Nothobranchius furzeri: one gene and its partners. The protein of the gene in region 3 interacts with the protein of the main gene of each other region in a biochemical or structural test. Links are inferred from orthologs where the notes say so. Each region holds a gene or a part of one and is shown on either strand. Other genes may lie near its edges.

What was found.
Region 1: the proteins of map3k2 (region 3) and smyd3 are reported together in a solved structure, tested with the Homo sapiens proteins (2 studies listed by BioGRID and IntAct, with this or other methods). The link is inferred for Nothobranchius furzeri from reciprocal best matches to the Homo sapiens genes MAP3K2 and SMYD3.
Region 2: of the proteins of map3k2 (region 3) and xiap, one has a biochemical effect on the other in vitro, tested with the Homo sapiens proteins (2 studies listed by BioGRID, with this or other methods). The link is inferred for Nothobranchius furzeri from reciprocal best matches to the Homo sapiens genes MAP3K2 and XIAP.

The regions. Positions count from the first base shown.
Region 1 is NC_091749.1:34,481,675-34,485,324, forward strand, and holds part of smyd3 (histone-lysine N-methyltransferase SMYD3), read right to left. Parts: intron 2,965-3,650; coding exon 2,877-2,964; intron 663-2,876; coding exon 488-662; intron 1-487. UniProt on the Homo sapiens protein: Histone methyltransferase. Specifically methylates 'Lys-4' of histone H3, inducing di- and tri-methylation, but not monomethylation. Also methylates 'Lys-5' of histone H4.
Region 2 is NC_091741.1:25,549,204-25,553,410, forward strand, and holds the start of xiap (E3 ubiquitin-protein ligase XIAP), read left to right. Parts: upstream 1-1,403; 5' UTR 1,404-1,562; intron 1,563-2,707; 5' UTR 2,708-2,757; coding exon 2,758-2,997; intron 2,998-3,083; coding exon 3,084-3,609; intron 3,610-3,711; coding exon 3,712-3,811; intron 3,812-3,900; coding exon 3,901-3,979; intron 3,980-4,207.
Region 3 is NC_091743.1:83,211,056-83,215,467, forward strand, and holds the start of map3k2 (mitogen-activated protein kinase kinase kinase 2), read right to left. Parts: upstream 2,922-4,412; 5' UTR 2,082-2,921; intron 851-2,081; 5' UTR 833-850; coding exon 778-832; intron 521-777; coding exon 402-520; intron 267-401; coding exon 226-266; intron 149-225; coding exon 49-148; intron 1-48. UniProt on the Homo sapiens protein: Component of a protein kinase signal transduction cascade. Regulates the JNK and ERK5 pathways by phosphorylating and activating MAP2K5 and MAP2K7. Plays a role in caveolae kiss-and-run dynamics.

The DNA of each region.
Region 1 (3,650 bases), on a different chromosome or scaffold from region 3:
GATTCTGAAGCCTAATTGACATATTTGGTGACTCAAGTTTTCAGCAATGATACTTTTTATTTTTTTTACATGAAAAATCCAGGATTGATTTTTTTGTGTAATTAAACACAAAGACTGAAAACAAAGTGTGACAGGAGGTGTTGTAAATAAGCACAATACTGACTCGTCAAACATCAGCCGTCCTTGAGTAATCGTGAAACCGTCCATCATTTGGGCGATTGCTTCTTTGTGCTGCTGCAGATTTACATTTCAATTCATCTACAAATGGTTAGTGAAGCATGCAACTGCACAGATAAGAAATTAACTTATATGATCAAAACATCCAAGTATTTACAAGGGTGAATGATGTATTTTTTAACGATTAATCCAATAAAACCTGAAAAACTTCCACAAATCCAGGGATTCAAGTGTATTTAATCTAATATCTTTTTTGGGGGAATCCTGTGAGAGTCGCCTGTCTGAGATTAAGATAAAAAAAACTACCTACCTGTACGCTGGAAGAGTCCTCACGCCGTATCTCAAAGCCTCCTCCCAGCGTCCCAAGTGAACAGACGCGTCTAGAGCCATGTCTGTAATCCTCAGCTTGTAGAGGTTCTCATCAGGGACATCACCCTTAACAGCTGACAACAGATGACTACAACCCTCCAACATCTCCTCCCAATCTAGATGAAGAATTAAGGAAAAGCAACACTGATCCTAGAAGCTTTTAAAAGGAGAGTGACACTGGAGACTGCCGAGGAAAGCCTGAAGTATGTATGAGAACCACTTTGCATAAAGTTATTAATACTGTTTTATGTAAAGACATAATTAAGTAGTGCCTGTCTTTTCTTCTCTTTTCTGTTATGATGAAAACTGCTCAGAGCCAGAATTATGAACATGAAAGCACAGCCCCACATTTAATTAAGAGTCTTAATTGCTCAGTTAATCATGTCCTAAGTCTCTACTGGCAGCCAGTGTCTGAACTTATCTCCAAGTAGAAAAAGTAATACCTCTAGTAGCTTATTTAAACGTTCTAATGTGATCTAAGATTATAGCAAGTCAGCAAATTTGTCTTTTGGCATTTTAATTAATTTACTTTGCTGCTGTAATGTTAACTCATGCATGCGTTTTATGATCAGGGTGACGATCCGGAGGCAATCCCACGATACGAGCATGTGCTTCTGTTGGCTCAAGTCTTATAATCCTTTAAGTATTTGTCTTGTTTTTAAAATTTCCCTCTGGATTAACACAGATTTGAACGCAACATTATTTGTACTATTTTCTAAAAAAAATTATTTTTAAATCAGTGTTTCTCAATTCCAGTCCTCAGGACCCCATGTCCTGCATGTTTTCCATACGTGCACCTGATTTAAATATTTGCATTGGCTCCTCATGAAGACATCAAGTGCTGCAGATGCCTGTTAATCACCCACTCATTTAAGTCAGGTGTGTGTGGAAGCAGGGAAACACTGGTGTTTGAAAAGGCAACATAGAAAACATGTAGAGCACCAGAATTGATAAACACTGTCTTAAAAGGGGTATTCCACCCCAAAGTGAAATTTTGTGTCACCATATTCTCCAGAGTTAGATAAGTAGGAAAAAGCATTTTGTAACACTCATTCTCCTAATCTGGCAGTATTCTGACAGGGTTATCTTAGCATAAACAATGTACGTGAATGGTAACAGCTAGCATTTTATGTTAAAGAGTTATTAAAATTTCTCAATATTTATCCTAATTTTATTTGTGACCTCAATAATCATATTGACTAAAAATGAAAATAATAACTAACACAAACAAAGAATTACAGGAGCCGACATGACAAAGCACTGTAGTAATCCGCAGCTACAGGTCACAAGAACACGATGCAGCTGTGCAAAATGACATCTACATCGTCTGTCGTGTAGTCAGCCAATTCTTGATGAAGTTACTATGCTATGCCTTCAATTATACAACAGTTAGTTGCGACCGAGTGATTTGATTGGTCAAGAGACTGTCCAAGAGAGCTGATATTGGACTATAACAACACTGGGACTGTTTACAAAAAGTATCACTCCGATGTGCACAAGCGTTCTAACCGTTGTTGTAGAAAATGTTTGTGTTGCCTAGCAACAGCCTTGTCTGAGTCTTCATTTCGTGTTGGGACTATTTGTGTAGGCAAAGCCTGATAAATGATTAAATGAATGAACAAATCATAATCTGTTGTTGCTTATTGTTGTTATAAAAATAAAATGTGCAGGTAGAACTGTTGTATATAAACAATATCACACTCACAGGTCGTGCGTTGTTGCTGAATTTCAGCACTGGTGTGATTATCAATATATAAATGGCAACAATGGGTTGAGACTTGATATCATGAATTTTTGGTGTACAAGATTATTCTATGATTAATTTTATAATACAAGATTATTCTGCTGTTAAATGAACTTAGCGAGTAGGTTGTTCCAGACATCTTGGAGAACTAACCCCAGATCTTCTGTGGATGTAGGCTTCTTCACATCCTTCTGTCTATTCATATAATCCCAGACACACTCTATGACGTTGAGATCTGGAATATGTGTGGGCCAGACCATCACTACCAGGACTTCCTGTTATTCTTTATGTTGAAGATAGTTCTTAATGACTTTGGCTGCATATTTGGACTCACTCACATTGCATTTTGTAAAGTGATAAAAATAAACAATCATTTATATTTCTGAAAGCATTCTCAACCCAGTCCCTCCCTCACAGTATTTGAACCAATTTTGATGTTAGCAAATGAGCAAAAATATCAAACCAGGATTTCAAAGAAAATGACTGGTCCTAACAATAATTGAAAGTAAAAATCTAAAAGACATTTTGATATTGTGATAACAGAAGGGAATTATCTGGCTCAGAGAATATTAAAGATAAAGGATTCTGGACTCTGCTTTTAGTCCTTCCAGTCTCGGCAGAGCCTCCTTCAACAGCCGGCATTTCTCTCCTTCCCCCGACAGCATGAGCCCATCCTGATAAAAGAAGGGGGGGGGGGGGGTTAACTAAAAACACACTAATGGTGCAAATCTACAGATTATGCATGATTACAGAGCACAAATTAGAGATGAGATGACAAAAGAAACGGAAAGGTTTAAATGCAAACGTGTGACAGAATGTGCAACATGTCAGAGAAAGAGGAGGGTTCAGAAATAATCTTTAGATTACATTTAGATTTGCATGATTGCATAAAAATATGCAGTCAGTTTACTAGAGTTAAGTTCACACACACACACACACACACACACACACACACACACACACACACACACACACACAACATAACCCAAAAGACACCCCGCTGGTGTCTGATGTCAACAGTCATCTGTTGCTATGGCAACTAACTCACAACATGCAGACTGCCATCATCAGCTGGAGATTAAAGAAAGAGAACGTGTCTGTGCGTGTCCTGCAACACAAAGGTCAGCTGTATAACATGAATGCGGTAGTCCCAGAAAACAACTCACTCTTGTTTATCTCAACCACACACACACACACACACACACACACACACACACACACACACACTCACACAAAGGCATTAGTACATTTTTTGCTGTGCTGTGAAAGTGTCTCATATGCTGCAGCATTAAAAGAGCAAAGCTGTAGACAAAGGTGACAACAGCATAAACAAAAAGATGATACTGGAGCAGGAAGGTAG
Region 2 (4,207 bases), on a different chromosome or scaffold from region 3:
CCCAAGCCTGCCAGTCTTTGGCCCCCTAAAATACCCATCAGAGAGTTAAGCACACATGGTTTAAGTTTCAGCACCACCAATGTTAACATTATCTATGTTTTAAGAACCTCTTTAAAACCACTAACAAGCATAAACAATAAGGAAAATAATCTTCTAAACAATCCTATTATATTATTATATTATTATAATCCAATTTAGAACTCAAATGAAAAAGGCATAAGTGCAGAACTTGAGTAACCCTTTCCAATCAAGCATGATTTATTGTCTTTGGGCTAGTTTTTGAGCAACAGGCGTTCTGAATTTAAGCATTAGATGTTGGCATGCCTGACAATGAAAAATGTTCTTTCCACACAACTCTGACCTGTAAGGTCCAAACCTAAAGACAAAACATGCCATTTTCACACAGATTACCCCTTTTCAAAGCAGCCGTATGCAAACCAACTCTAAAATCAGCTGGTTCACACCTGTCGGAAAAAGTGGACTGATCATACCTAACATCATAATAATGATGATTCAACAAAAACCTGACTGGAGTGGGTTTTAGAATACCAAGTGATCGTTTATGAAGTTATTGTTATACCACAGGTAGTTTCTGAGTAAAGTTACAGCTAAGCTAAACTTGATGAGGCACATTCAAACTATGCTGTTTATGTTTTCTTAGAAAATATGTATCTGTGAAGATGATCATAACATAACAGAGATAGAAAATGTATCTTCTCCATTCTAAATTATAAGAATACCTGTGAACCCCCACCCCCTAAAAAAATCCCTAACGATTTACTGGAAATGCATGGGGCAGACCAATGCTCGTGTTTTATTTGACTACTACGGCAACTTTTAGTTTGAATCAAAAAGTTGACATGCATAATCACCAATATGGAAAATTATCTCAGGTTGATATATGACTGTTAAAGAGTATAGTTATTTTATGTATCCCATTAGCTTTCACTGGCATTTATTTCTGTTGGTGACAGATGCAGGTTGTATTATCAGTCCCTACCCTGTGCCTTGAGTTTCTCTGCTCCAACACCAGGTCCATCGGTTGAATCACCTCTTCAGCAGCTCTGTAACCTTTCAATTACTTGCTGATACAATCAGGTGAGAGAGCAGATAAACCTCAGATAAACATGGAGGCCCTCAAAACAAGAGATGACCGCCACTGTCCTAACAATCCTGATTAAAAATGGTCACTAATATTGTAGGTATAAGATTATGACCTTCAGACATTGTTTGAGGTGCATGATGGGATTACATTAAAATTTTAAATGAACGCTTTTTGCTGGTTACTGACCATATTTAGGCAACCCTAAAGTATGTTGGCAGTTGATAGTAGACGGCATGTTTCTGTGAAACACCCACGTGGGCGTACTTTGATCATGTGACTGAAGAGGCGGGGCCAAATGTTCTAGGTTCCCAGATTCCTCCCTTTGCTTTCGCTTCCTCATAGTTTTTATAAAACAAACTGAGCTCTTTAATCATCCTATTCTGCTCCAGGTCAAGTTCACACTAAAGACAGACTAAAGTTACAAGCTGAAGACCGGAACCAAAAGGGGCGCGTGAAGGTAAATACCGTAGTTTTCCGGCTACGGTCGATTTAGGCAACTGCGCAAATTAGCAAACAAGCTAACGAAGCTAGCTAACTGACACTTTAGCAAACTGTCAAAACCCAAAGTCACTATCTCGACATTACGCACCTACATCAAAGCAGCTGATGTGTTTATTTTTAGAATGCAGGCTTATTGAAATGCGTGTCCTTGAATAATATAGGCTAGTTTTTAGCTTTTGGTAACTCGAGCATCCACGTTTAAGCAAGGGTCACCAGCATAGAGAGCTACTTCATGTGTACTGAGCCACATTAAGGGCTACCAGGATTCTACAGTTCTGACATTTGAACTGGAATAGATCAGAGTTAAACCAAACTTCATTTATAATAAATATATTTTATTTATTTGGAAGGATTTGTAGTTTTAAAATCAATATTGATGCATTTGTAATTAAAAAAGAAGGCTGCAGATTTGTATTTCGTTTTAGATATTTGCCATTTAAAGAAGTGGCTTTATATTATGCCAGGAGGCACCATGGTGCAGTATCGTAAATTGTGCATGTTTGTCATACGGTTAAACACACATTAAGTTGTGACACACTCGTGATCATGGTGACTACTTTTTTTTTTTATAAAGATTGCCAACAACAGTGCAAAGATCAAAAGCTGATCCTCATCAATAAAGCATCTCAGATAAAATCATACTAGATGTTACAGTTTTAGGACTAAGCCTCCACCATGTAGTGGGCTTTCTGAGTATTTGGGTTGTGAGAACACATTTTCCATGTGCCAGTGTAGAGGTGGCAAAACTATTCCCCCCATCCTGCTTTCTTAGCTGGCGTGCTTTGATCTTGGGTCATTAGCCCGTGTACAGCATGTACTGTGACTCCTTATTACAGCAAATACTTTATCAGTGTTTGTCACTGTTGTGTATAATCTATTTAGGAATGCTGCTTTAGTGTAGATTGTATCAGGTTACGCCCTTTGCACCGCCTTTCCTGTTCCCATGCCTCACACAGAGTATCCAGCACCAGCATGTGATTATAGCCTGGCTGCCTCTCCCAAAGGCTTAGCCTGGATGCTCAAACCAGCTCCCTGTTGTTTTAATTCAAGTACATTTAGGACTTTTGACTAACCTTCAAATCTGCTTGTCTTTCTCCTCAGACTTCATACATTCAGTAGCTGTATCTATCCAGGAAGGTCCTAGTTCAATTATGTGTGATAATGAAGAAAATGAGCATCTGGAATCAGATGGTGCTATGGATTTTTCATTGCTCAACAATCGCCTGAACTCCTTCCGCCGCTCCATCCTGGCTGAGCAAGTTCCAGCTGAACGACTGGCACGAGCAGGCTTCTACTTCACCGGCAACGCAGACCGCGTCCGCTGTTTCAGCTGCAAGAAGACTGTGGAGAACTGGACCAGCGATGACACGCCTGTGGAGCGGCACAAGGAGGTAGATCATGGATTCAAAGTGTTGAACGATTGTGACTTTTTGTTCTGCTTTAGAGGTTTAAATAATGATCTCTCTTCCTGGTACAGGTTTCTCCAACGTGCTTGTTTCTCAAATGCTGCCACCGAACCAGTTTCAACCCGAGCTTTCATAACCCGCTCACTAATGGCTACAACGAGGCTGCAGAACACATGGAGTATCGTTTGTTAACTGGAGCCGTGACTGACGACACCATGTACCCTAAAGCCCCTCAGATGGCGTCTGAGGAAGCCCGCCTTCAGACCTTTTCCTCGTGGCCCGTTGATTCTCTTATGAGACCCAGAGACCTGGCACAAGCTGGTTTCTTTTATTTGATGAATGCTGACCGAGTGCGGTGTTTCTGTTGTGGTGGCGAGCTGAGTGACTGGGAACCAGAAGACAATGCTTGGAGTGAACATTCCAAACATTATCCAAACTGCTTCTTCATACTTGGGCATGATGTGGGGAATGTGCCGCTTCAGGAGAGCAGTTCTCAGGTCTCCATGGAGAGTTTTGAGGGGAGACTTGGCAGCTTTGCTGGTCTCCAGCTCCCTGTTGACCACAAGAGTCTCGCCACGGCGGGCTTCTACAGCTTAGGTACAGCGCCATCGTCATCTGTGGACAAAACTCATACAAAAATGAGTCACTGTTATATCGTTGTTCTGATTTTGTTTTGACACATCTGATTTGTGCTTACAGGAATGGGAGATAGGGTGATGTGTTTCAGTTGTGGTGGGAGTTTGAAAGGTTGGCAGCCTGGGGAAGACCCCTGGGAACAACACGCCAAATACTACCCAGGGTTAGAGGAAACATCTGTCTTTTCTTGGCAATAAAAATTCATTATGGAGACATTTTTATTTATGCTGCTGTAACTTTCTTCCCCATTAGATGCAGCTTCTTGTTGGCAGAAAAAGGAGTAGAATTTGTCAACAGCATCCAACTAAATGGACCCAAACAAAGTAGAGCTGTAAGCAATCTCCTTCTTTTTTTCTTGCTATTGTGATTATATGACAAACCATAGCTTGTAACTTTACCTGTCAATCTGATTCCCAAGTCCCTTTATTTATAAAAAATAAACAATGAAAAGGTTTGAATCAGCTGGAATTGTGTTTTAAATCATTTTACTTGTATTTGGTGTGTTTTAGTGAACTTTATGGAACATAAGGAACCAAATGTACTTCTCTTTAGGTCTCGG
Region 3 (4,412 bases):
AGTCCATCAGAATTCCTGAGTGTGTTAGCAAAGCTTCCAGCTTTGTACCTCATTGTTGGTGTAATGAAGGTCCATCGTCTGACCAAAAGCCACTTTAGCTTTGGCCTTCAGATCTTCCAGCTTGACGGGTCGAGGAAACTGTAAGATCCTGCAGAGAAGATGAGAAGTCAGAAGGCTGCAGCTGCTGCTGGTCTGAAGGAACAGCATTAGAGAACAAATGTTTACCTTTTCTCTCCTTTAAATTCAAACTTCACTCTCACATCATTCTGTGGAGACAAAGTCACGTTGAGCATAAAAACCATTGGGACGACGACGTGGGTTTTATTTTGAGATCTCAGAAACATGTTTGCTTTGTTGAGCTTTTCTCACACTTCATGTCCAAATCACATTTCTGTGGTTACCTGGTTCTTGGGCGAGGAGGCTTTGGGTTTGCCTAGGTCCGACAGGAAGGTAGCAGGGCGGCTGGAGCGTTGCAGTTCGGCCAAGTCCTGCATGATGGAGTTCAGGGCCTCCTGCTCATCTGCAAAGATAAATTAATCGGGTTTACAGATTATCCACAGCAACAAGTGACACTTTGATCATTATGCTAACAATCGCAAACCTAAAAGATAAAAACAAATGAGCCCCAGCAGGAGCTCATGACTCGTCGCTTAAACAGATGTCATAATAGAAAAAGAGACATTGTTTACAGAAAAAAAAGATTATTTAAGTTTTTAGACAAAAGACTCAGCTGGCTCTCTGCCAGCTGTAACATGATCACAAAGCTCGCACACATACCCATCATCATGGCACGGCAATTGACCCAGGAGGCCAGGATAGAAGACTCTCCCATCAAAGGGATTCCTTTCTCCTGAAACAGCAACACAACTGGATAAATAATAGCATTCAGTTTAATGAAGACGCAAGTTAGAAAGCATGGAGCTGCTGACTGATCCGCAGATCTGTAATTGGTGAGCCAGAGGCAGAAAGAAAATGCATAAATGGGGATTATTGGAAATGTTTGCTCTGATGTCTTTTAAGGGAACAAAATCTTGTGGAAAATTGTTTTGTTCCTATGATCCAATTCAGGAATGACACTGAAACTGGCTCATCGTATGCGTCACTTGGTTTGATTTTTGCAGAACCAAAAATCCTTATTTCTCAACAAATATGGGGGTGAAGTTACTTTTTTGGTTGCCTTTAAATGCAGTGAGCATTCTTGTCTTCTTTTATTTCATCCTGTTATGAGCTCATTTTTTTACACCCTAACTCACCTGTAGAGTCCAAGAAGCTCTACTGTTGCTTATTTTGGAGGTGTGTTTGCAAAAAGCAACAAGAAACATAACATGCTTTATGGAAACTATTCTTAACATGGACTTCAGAGGTTTTCTGGCTTTTTGGCCGTTTTTATTACCAAACAGCTTATAATACTACATCTGCAGCTACCTGCTTTATAATAAATACAGTTTCATTGTGTTCAAAGATGTATGGAAACCTCTGTAGGTTCACCTGAACACAAGTTTCACAGACAATTATAGTGTTGGCAATTCTTCACTAAAGTGGCATCATTAACACAGAAGCTGGCTGGTGTTGACGCAAAAACAAAACACAAACCTGTAATTTTAAATCAGTTAAAACGTTTAAGGAACGGCAGATGCACTAATATTCCAACTAGAAATACACACAGGTATTATTTCTCAGAATATTAAGAATATTGCCTTAATTACTTTATGGTATTGTTGTTATTAAAGCCTTTAGAAGATAACTGTATTTGTAACCCATAAGCCCCGGAAGTTAACAACTGTTGCTAGCTAATTTTACATTACGACTCATGCCAGGATAACATTTCAAAATAGCTGCTATCTTGACATGAAATTCTTGAAAAATACAATTTGTTGTTTAAGCAGCAGGTTTTGGGGGATGAAATGGTAATGACTCCACTGTTAGCTGTCAGGCAAGGGAAGTTATCAGGCTAATCAAACGCTAAAGCTAACTCCTAGCCGCTGGGCTAACCGAGCTAACCAGCACTCGCCCGCGCTGCACAATTATTGGAACAGTTCATGAACGAAGTGAGATTGTTTTTGTCTTCAGCCTAATCCCACCTGATGAATAATTTAATCTCGGTTTATTTCCTCAACCACAGGACCGGTGACAGGAGCCCCGGGCCCTGTGGAGAGCCGCTGGAGGAAGCAGAAGTTTGTCAGTCCGCTGTCAACTTCACTCGAGTCTTGCTGGGCCACGACGACGAGGCCCGGTAGCTGTTGGTTCAGCCGCTTCGTCTCTCCAGGAGGGGAAGTGACAGGGTGATATTTATTATGTTCGGCACGCTACACTCCAGTGCGACAGTTCAAAGGCTAATTCAATCCACAGATCTCATTTTGTTGTGCTACACAGCCTGCTTAACTGTACCTTGCTCGATGCTGACCCCTAGTTTCATCGAGCTAACATGTACGATTAAAAACACACCGGAAATAATTACGCCGTGTTTATAAAATAAAAGCAGCACGTCTCGTGGTGGAAGGCAAAGTGGCGTTCTGTGTTTTATTTTGAAACAAATGTTAACCGAAAGTACTTTTATTTTGAGAAGCTTAACTAGTGTTAACCCCTAACCTCACTGAGGGTCCAACAGAAACATCATACAAACATGACAAGTAAAAATATTTATTAGATTTTTGAGCATTTGTTTGGAGCTTCATTTCAGTTCCAATTTATTAAATAAGTTGTAAACACAGTGTTTTATAGTATAAATTAAGCTTCCGTTTAGACAAGTCACATTTCCTCATAATTTAAATTCAAAGCAAACGATACTCAAGGTCAATTCAGGTCATTCAAATGCCATCCAGTGTGACTTGCTGTTCCAAACACACTAGGCCCACTCATTATCTGATTCATTCCAGTGACTTTTTTTCCGGAACTGCGCTGCTCTGGGTGGCTGCATGTTGGAGTAGCTCTGTTGACTATATGTAAGTTTAGCCTTTTCTTTAGCATTTTTTCTTCTAGTTTCTCAAGAAAAACTATTTTTTGGACACTTTACTTTTCTGTTTCTGGTGCTGTGAAGCTTGGAGGATTTTTACTGCTATTTTTTTTAGCTTTTTTCACTTTTTGAGCATTTGTTATGATGTGTAACCATGGCAACAAGCTGGTTTACAATCGGGAGCAGCTGATTAACATTGGAAAGGCTGAAATAATACCTCAACTGAAGCCACAAATCCCAAATGAGCTAAAATGCAAGAAGCGTGGGTGCAGAGCGTGAGCAAAACGGAGACACAGAGAGAGAGGAAATTCAAACCATCTCTTCCATCGATCATAATGGGCAATGTGAGATCACTGGTCAACAAGATGGAGGAACTCCAAGCCCTTTCAAGGACTCAGCCAGAGTTTCGGCTGTTCGGGAACCGCTGGAGGAGATAATGCAAAGAAGGATTCTCCAGAGAATCAAGAAAATTATGGACAACCCTGAGCGTTCTCTTCACAAGACTGTCCGACAACGGAAGAGTGTCTTCAGTCAGAGGCTTCTTCAGTTTCGCTGCAACACTGACCGCTACTGGAGATCCGTCCTGCCAACAGCCATTGTAATATACAACAAATCTTTGATGGCTTGATTATTATTATTATTCTGATCTACTACAGCAATCAATTTCCCTCTGGGATTAATAAAGTATTTTTGAATTGAATTGAATTGATTACATGCTGGTCCAAGTTCATTCAGTAGTGATTAACTTGACCCCTATTAATTCCAATTTAGTTCAGTTATTTGCAGTCAAATCCAGTCATGTTATGATAAAATTTAAATTGTTTCATTAAACACTATGTGTAAATGTGCATTCAACGCATAATTTTACCACTTTATATTCCCAAACAGCAAAATTCTGCTGCAAGAAGAACAATTCGTTTGATTATCTTTGGTGTGTTCTTGCTGTGTTGAAATTCTAATTCCATCTTTTAGTTTTTTTAAACACAGAAAGGTTTTATTTACCTGGGTTTTGCAGCCGCAAACGAAACGTTGCAGGTAAATAAAATCTTTCTGTGTTTTAAAAAGAACTAAAAGATGGAATTAATTTGATCACATTTTAAACACACCGCTCACTTCAGATCAATAACACTAAAACTGTGTCTTGCGATGGGATCAACATATTAACGTGCGCCTCATTGTATGATTTTTCAGATAAATGCAGTAATAATGATTATTAGACTTTTTTATTCATTGCAATTTGTTTGAATTTACATGAGCAAATGATTATAATTACTTTTAGACAATGATTGCTACTTCTGATAGTTTGAACATTTTATCTAAATATTATTTAAAAATATTTGTTGTTCACTGCTTTCATTAGAAGCGCAACAACAGCATAAAAATATAAAAAATACTATTGTTTCTCTAATCTGAAGGGAGTTTTATTGTGAAAAAACGTCTTTTCGTCACTTCCGGCTAA